Coturnix japonica: one gene and its partner. The protein of the gene in region 2 binds, or shares a complex with, the protein of the main gene of each other region. Links are inferred from orthologs where the notes say so. Each region holds a gene or a part of one and is shown on either strand. Other genes may lie near its edges.

Region 1 (3,817 bases), on a different chromosome or scaffold from region 2:
TTTTTACACCTATTTAAACAACTTACTCATTTGGACAATGTTTTCTAAGCCTGCAGGTACAGCCAGGCCCTTCAGGACCCCGATGTGAGCCTCGGAGCAAAGAGCCCTACTCCTAGTTGCACTGATCCTCACTGTGGAAATGAACTGAAGCTCCCAGCAAGTCAGTGAGTATGTATGTGTGTGTGAGACAGAAGGGAGGAAGGGCGTCTTTCAGAGAGAGCTTCCTGCTTTCCCATGGGAGCCTGCAGACCTTGCTTAGAATGGCTTTTTCTCTGCTCCCACTGGCAACAGTGCTTAGCAGGGGGGTGGGCATGAAGCCCCCAGACTGTCTCCATCCTGCCACGTGTGGCTGCATGTTAGAGGTGCTCTTTGAAACTAGTCAGGATAGCACTTAGAAGGTCCCAGGGTAACGTGCTCTGGCATGGTCCCACAGTGTAATTATAATGGTAGTCAACTGTAGCTAATTGTAAGGTAACTGCAGCTAAGATGTCAAAAACATTAAAGGACAGTGTAATGATGAAAGGACCAAAGGAAAAGACAAGGGGTCTCTCTGTGTCCCTCAGCCAGAAGCCTTCTTGTCTGATGCCAGACACAACGTTTAACTCTTCTGTGCCTCGGTTTCCCCAACTGTGAAAAAGGCTCCATACTGACCTACATGAGGTTTAAATCGCTCATACCCATGACAGGCTTTCGGAGTCTCCAGTGAAAAGAGCCATAGATGGGCAAACTACAGGTTATTGATGTTTGCTTTTTTGAAAGAGCCTGAGATGAGAAGAAAGGAACTGGCCACAGCCAGCACCATCCCGTGGAAGCAAAAACATACAACTGAATGGCTTCTCCAAACATCACTGTATTTTTCTTAGCGTACCCAACCAATCTTGCCATTTCACTTGGAATAACTCCTGTTATGATGGCAATGGTGTTGCTGAGAACTGGGACATTACACTACTTGTTCCTTTCTGGCCAAGACCATGGATTACATGAAGATAACATTCAACTGCAACCAATACTTACAAGGATATCAGTGTTTTCAAAATAGTTCCTCCAGTACGGCCTGATCTTCCTCTGTCCGCCTATGTCCCATACGTTCAGCTTGAAGCCTTGAGACTGTACGCTTTTGATGTTAAAGCCCTGGAAAGAGCAGAAACAAAGGCACATAGAGCATAAACCTGAATGGCTGGATCAGATTCACAGGCAGACATTAGCACCCTATATATCCCATGCCTGCACCATGCTGTGAGATGGGCCAGGCAGCCATAAAGATGGATCGGCTGCGGGAGAGGCACTGGTGAAAATGAACAGCCACTAAACCATCAGCTGGCCTGTGTTCCTGGGCCAAGGGTTGATGCTGTCATGGCTACGGAAACATATGATGCAGTTAGTACCCTGGAAAGGCTCAGCAGGGTGGGTGCAGGAAGAGGTGGGAGAGCTGCAGATAAGGAGAAAACAAGGGCACTGTGAGAAGCAGGACTGAGCTTGTGAAAGCTGAGTAGAGAGTCCCAGCTCACGTGAAGCCAGAGGTCTCAGCTCAATTCGACACAACGCAACTAATGCCAGGCTTAAAAGAGCAACAGCTGCATGTCTGAAGGGTCCATTTCATCAATTAAAGCACCAACTGAAAGGGCATTCAAGTAGAAAAACAGGATGTGGCGTGGGCTGGCAACGTGCTGCCGCAACACTCAGGGGACTGGGACTTGGAATTAGGGTGTTGGGGCTGGGAGCTTTGCAAGGCAGCTACAGGGTGGGGGGAAGCATCTCCCATAGCTCTCTAGCAACCTCCTCTGGTCAATACAGGAGCAATGCTGCAGCATTTCTGATGGGTGACATCTATCTCCCCAACCCTGATGCTCCAAGAAGGGGGGCCAGAGGTACCAGAGAGGGAACGATGGAATATGCAGGATGTTTGGAGTTGGCTGGATGTAAGACAAAAGGCCTTCCTCACCTGTGTTGGTGTGATGTGGCTTATGTCCTCAGACGCCAGCTGTTTCAGGAGTGTGGTCTTGCCTGCATTATCCAGCCCCAAGAGGAGGATCCTCACCTCCTGGTCTGGGGTGCTTTTCAGTTTACGCAGGATTGACAGTAAACCCTAAATTAGCAAGAGAGACTGTAGTTGTTATTTCCCTCTGACTTTCCCCACCAGGCCGAGCGACCCATCCCTTAAAACAGCTTCTGTTCAGTGCTGGATCCCAGGACAGACTGAACCCCTACCCTCTTCCTTTCCTACTCTTCCCCCTCCCTGCAATTCTCCTTCATCTCCAAGAGCATCAGTGAGGTCTCAGGCAGCACAAATGCCACTCAGTGGGATGCGCCACTGACTGCATCGCTCATGTCACACAGCTGTTTGGCACTGCCTAAGCCAGGAAGGCAGTGCCTAAGGATATTACATGTAGGAGCTGCAAACCAAGTCCTTGCGAGCTCTTCATTATCTTTATCAGAGGGAAAACCCCATTAATTTAATCTCCCTCCTAGTTAGCTGTAGGTTACGGCACACCTGACATCAGTTCTTTTCATAGTAACTCCCTGATCATCTCAAACCCCGTTTATCTGTCTAAAACATGCTGGACCCATGGGGCACGTGCAGTTCTGATTCTCAGGATGTAGCACTTAACAGCTATCTCAGATCACCACACGTCCTCGCTAAGAAAAGCACAGTGGATTTCAGTCATTAGCCAGGCTCAGCTCTCTGAGCTGACAGTATCACTCAGGATTAGGAAACAGAATATGCAGGTCAGCTCATTTACAACTGTGCACGTTACAGCAGCACACCCAAGCTTTTGTCAGAGACCTGCACCTTTCTGAAAAGGATGGAAAATGGTCCAGATCCTGACGTGCAACCACAAGGAGCAAATCACCCTGCTTCCATCTGGACCTCAGCCCCGCAGGAGAAGGGCTGAGATGCATGGATGCTCCTGAAACTTGTTTGCCTAGGAAAAATGCACCCACAGCTCCTTCTGGAGCCTTTGGGATCCTGCTCAGCCTCCCACAGACCACTGCCATGCCTCGAAGGGCAATCATGAGAATGAAGTTCAGATATCAGCACAAGCCTGGGCTGCAGGGGCCCACCTCTCGAGCAGTTTTGTTCTCCCATTTGCAAAACAGAGACAACAAGGGCAAAATTAGCTAAATGTCACAAAGTGCTTTGTTGCTAAGAGGAACTGCGCCCTCTAAATATTCCTGCTGGGAGCTGAGGACTATCTGAGCCATGAAGGTTGCTCCTCATCCCCTCCAGATCACAGCAATCAGAAGCCTGTCCTCAGGATGAAGGGCTGCAGAGTTGCTGTGCTGCTGCTGCACAAAGTGCAGTTTGGAAAGGACGTGGCACTACCCGTCATGATGTCAAAGCTTTCACTGCACGGTGTGAAAATACACCAGACCCAAACACAGGTTAGATTTGATCCATGCCCTCCAAGCATTTTGGATTTGGAAGTAATCTGTTGGCTATCTATGTAAGTAGCAGATGAAGCTCACAAATACATGATGCAAAAGAAGAGGAGGAACTTACTGAAACTGTTTGATGGATATTTGTAGAATGCTGCGTGGCTGCCATTGTGACTGCACTTTTGTGGAAAGCTGAGGGTCAGAAATTCAGAGCTCGTGCAATGAAAGTTCGTGAAGTGAAATCTTACCCTGCCCCTTGGGCTGCATCACCTGCGCCATAAACAGGCTGCTACACACCTGGGAGGCCAGGCCCAGCTCAAGGTGCTAATGGGGAGCAGGCTCTGCTTGCTGGTGGTCAATGCCCTCATGCACCGCCTGCAGCCCAGGCTGTGACACCCCGTGCCAAGGCCGGGTGCCCACAGCTGGCTCTGTGGGGCTG
Region 2 (3,817 bases):
TGGAGCCCAATGACACAATTTGATAAGAGTAAATTCTTAGCTACAAAACAATATTTTTCAACACAATCACTATTAACTAAGCATTTTCACTGGAAATGAACAAGATCCTGTGTTCAGTGCTCCTAAAAATCTTTGTGGCTGTCTGAAGCATCTGAAGGTGTGTTGTTAGATTCCTTTATGCAGAAAAAAAAAATTGCACCCATTGACATTTGTAGATGCTTGTTCAGTGTTTACGGAGACCAGGCACTGGATATTAGCACAGTGAGGTGCTTGATGATGTGTTTCAGCAGTGGTGACAGCAGCATGTTCTGGACAGCTAAAGAAAAAGTACTTCCAGAACACAGAGGGCAAAATAATTTAATATAACCCAAATGGGTTAATATGTTATTATTTGTTCATGAGTCTTTATACATGGGTGAACCGGGAGTGGAGGAGAATCTATAGAAGTTGTATCAGTCCTCATGCATCTTAGATCACAATCAGAGTCATTAAAGACAGCTAAGGAGGCAGCTGTGGAAACTAATAAAGACTACTGCAGAAGCAGAGTTTGCCATTCCAAGGTTTTAAAGGACACAGAACGAAGTATGGTACCCTTGTTAAGGAGTAATAAAGCTGCTTTAAGCAGTGTTGGTTTATATCTCCAGACCTGGGTTTAGGGTGCTCGCAGAACAGCTTATAGCTAGTGTGCTTCTGTTGACCAGAGTCACTGAACACAGCTCTGCCTTGTGATTCAGAGGAGAATGGAACCAGTGGGGCTTTTAAAGTTGAACATCATTCCACAAATCACTAAGATGGTTCCATCATGGCAGAGTGGTAATTCTTATGTCTTCAGATACCTTTGATCACATCCACTGTCTAGTATAATTCATTTTTCTGATACCATCTTAAAGCAGTTTCTTAGAAAAGGCTAGAAGCATTAGATCCTATATCCTTTGCTTTTAAAGGAAGGTGGAAAGTAGGACTGTTTTCTTATTTTACCTTAAAACCTCCCTGAGTACTTTCATTTCTTCTTGTTCAATTTCACTGAATACATCAGAACCCTCTGTCAAACAGTCAGGCAACACACCTACCAAAAATATAAAAGTATGCATTACTCTAAAGGATGTTGTTTTGTACTCCGTTGGCATTAGTCTTCAGCCAAAGATAAGAAATAAATCTTGTCGGCAAAGGAGAGAAACTAAAAAATATACCTAATTCTTCCTTATTGTAAACTGTTTACAAAAAAGATTCCACATCCTCAGCACCAAGTTACAAAAAGGCACAAGTTTCTGAAACAAAAATGTTTTGATATCTGAGGGCAAAATATTAGGCTTAGTCTGCATTGATTGTTATATGGTATTTCCTGCAGGCTACAAATCAACCATGGTTATTCAAACCATTTTCTAATCTAGGTATTGCATCAAGCTTAAAATTTAAGAGTTATTCTCTGGAAAAAACATGTGCACGGTAAGACAAAGCAAAGTAATAACACTGAAGACATGGATTAAATGAAGGAGAGGATAAAAATACTTCTAGAAACATCAACAGAGCAGTAGAGTTGAGTGTAAAACATGTTTTCCTAACAGCACTGATCTATTACAATGACAGAGACCAAATTTCTGCTCTGTCCATAGATTTTTTCACAGTGTGGTAGGCATGAGAGACAGTACACCAACACCACTCTGCAAATAGCACAGCTCAGCTATTGGCACTTCGCTCCTGATGAGCTGATGCAATTAACACTCAATAAAATTCTCTAGCAAAAAACAGACCAAGTTTCACACAAAATCTTATAGAGTTCACAATCTGCTACTTTAAAGAGGATAATGAATTGCTGTGTCTGAGAATATAATCCAAAAACTAAATATTGAACTCCTGGTCCCATTAAAACCAGCTCACTGTTCTCCCTTAACTTCAACTAGACCAGCATTCTGTTTTCATTTCTAACTGTATTACACAGTCTTTTAAAAGAAAAAAAAGAAAGAAAGAAACCTCACATTACTACTTCTTACCATTTCTTTCTTTCATGACTCTAATGGCTTGCAACTGCATTTCCATATTTTTCTGTACCATCATTTTTTTAAATAGTCTAAAATCTTCTGCTGCCAGTACTGTTTGCAAAATGGCCTGTGGGAAGGAAGATACACGCAAATTAATTAAGCTACAGAAATCGAAACCTTCTCGGTTTGCTTGAAATTATATCAAATTTCATTCTTTTATCTGTCTGTTTTTTCTAGCTGTACAAGTAGAGTTTACAGGCAAGAAAACAATTTGAGGGTTTATTTCCTTGCATCATCATGGCTACAATATTATCACAAAGCCTGGAGGGTTACCCAGTGTAAGTTTACAATCACAGTTTGTTGGATTTCTAGAACAAATCTGTAAGCTTGAGCAAGGAATGTGCACTCTGACAAATCTTGCTAGAGGAGATATTTCAACAAAGCAAACTTGACACTGGCAGGAGAAGCTCCCACTTCTCTGCCCCATATACCTGAGACAGTTCCTAAAGATAACCTTCAGCAGGCTAAGCAGTGCAGAATCATGCCTTGTCTTCTCAGGGTAATCTCTGTCTTATAGATTTTACTGTTTATTTTTTACAAAATTGGAGGAAAACACATTTTGCTTTTATGTCTGTTTTTTTTAATCTTAAAGTTTTTCTGCTACTATAAACAGGCTGAAGGCTACCATAAAGCTAACAAATCTGCAAATAAAGGTGGCGGGCATACCTTTAAGCTTAGGGGTTTGGTTTAGATAGTACAAAGCATGGATGACAAATCTCAAAAGAGCGACTCCACACAAGTACCTGCTGCTGTTTTAAAGACACACATTTTGCCGGTCAAAGTTTATAATATAAACAGATACATTAGGTTTTAGAACATGGAAGTTTTAAAAAGAAAGCTTTTCAAATGTGTATCTGTTTGCATGTTCAAACATGCATCTGTGGAAAGACAAAGCTAAAAAATTAAATCTATGCATTCCTTAGCAAAGGAAAATATACCTGAGAAGTGTGAGTCTTTGCAAGAGGAGATGAAAAAGCTTCCTGAAATTTCTCTTCAGTAATGCCAACTTCTGTAAGATAACCTTCTAATAATTTTTCAACCTGTAAGAAATATAAACCTTACTTTCTAAGAGATTTTTCCCTATGAATCATGGTGTATCTTCTTTCTTGCTGCAATTGTGTTTTTTAAAAACTCACAAAGAAATCACTGCAATAACATAACTGATTTCTCCAATACTTCTGGCTTATTTGCTTCTATAATCCGTTGTAAACCAACGCTGATTTTTGTTGCTGAAACTGGTTATTGCTTAACTGAACCTCTACAACTTCCAGGGACCTCACCTCTCCACCTTCTCTCCAGACTCCCAGCTGATATTACTCAACATCTGTACTTGTTATGTAAAAAGATTTTCATTCTGCCAGTCTTTGTATCCAATATGCTTCAGGACCACAGCAGAAATCACTGCTGGCCTATATTCATTCCACTCATGGTTCCTGACATCGAGTACTACCAAGTCTTGTCATAAGGAAACACTTTAGAAAACTGCATGCATTGATTTATAAGTTATTTTCAGCATGCTCCAAAAACATTCTGTATTTTGTTCTGATACTTGAAATAATTCAATAGGTTTACTGGTCTCATAAGGAAACAAGTTTTACATGTTTTCTAACATTGTGCTGTTTGTCATTTTAACTTTGCATAACGTGTGAAGACTCTCCAGCTTATAAACAGTGTTCTAGCTAGCCAATGCACTAACATTAAGGAAAAATAGGTAACTGTGTAAGAAAAAATAACATTCCTGCATTTCTGTGTTTAAGCCAAAAATGCAAAGATGACTA

Evidence for each region.
Region 1: the proteins of CFAP36 (region 2) and ARL3 are in contact, whole or in part, in a crystal structure (PDB 4ZI3), measured with the Mus musculus proteins. The link is inferred for Coturnix japonica from reciprocal best matches to the Homo sapiens genes CFAP36 and ARL3. Residues at the interface, in NP_080016.1 of Mus musculus: Glu44, Glu45, Ser46, Lys47, Leu48, Thr51, Glu52, Lys58, Val61, Glu62, Leu65, Glu76, Phe79, Gln80, Cys83, Thr84, Ala88, Lys89, Leu97, Val100, Leu101, Ala103, Glu104, Asp105, Phe106, Thr107, Ile108; in NP_062692.1 of Mus musculus: Leu3, Leu4, Ile6, Leu7, Arg8, Lys9, Leu10, Lys11, Ser12, Arg19, Lys35, Glu40, Pro47, Thr48, Gln49, Gly50, Phe51, Asn52, Ile53, Lys54, Trp66, Ile74, Tyr77, Ser80, Tyr81.

The regions. Positions count from the first base shown.
Region 1 is NC_029521.1:20,414,635-20,418,451, forward strand, and holds part of ARL3 (ADP-ribosylation factor-like protein 3), read right to left. Parts: intron 2,087-3,817; coding exon 1,943-2,086; intron 1,132-1,942; coding exon 1,015-1,131; intron 632-1,014; exon of another isoform or gene 50-631; intron 1-49. UniProt on the Homo sapiens protein: Small GTP-binding protein which cycles between an inactive GDP-bound and an active GTP-bound form, and the rate of cycling is regulated by guanine nucleotide exchange factors (GEF) and GTPase-activating proteins (GAP).
Region 2 is NC_029518.1:7,373,830-7,377,646, forward strand, and holds part of CFAP36 (cilia- and flagella-associated protein 36), read right to left. Parts: intron 3,080-3,817; coding exon 2,978-3,079; intron 2,107-2,977; coding exon 1,992-2,106; intron 1,067-1,991; coding exon 979-1,066; intron 1-978. UniProt on the Homo sapiens protein: May act as an effector for ARL3.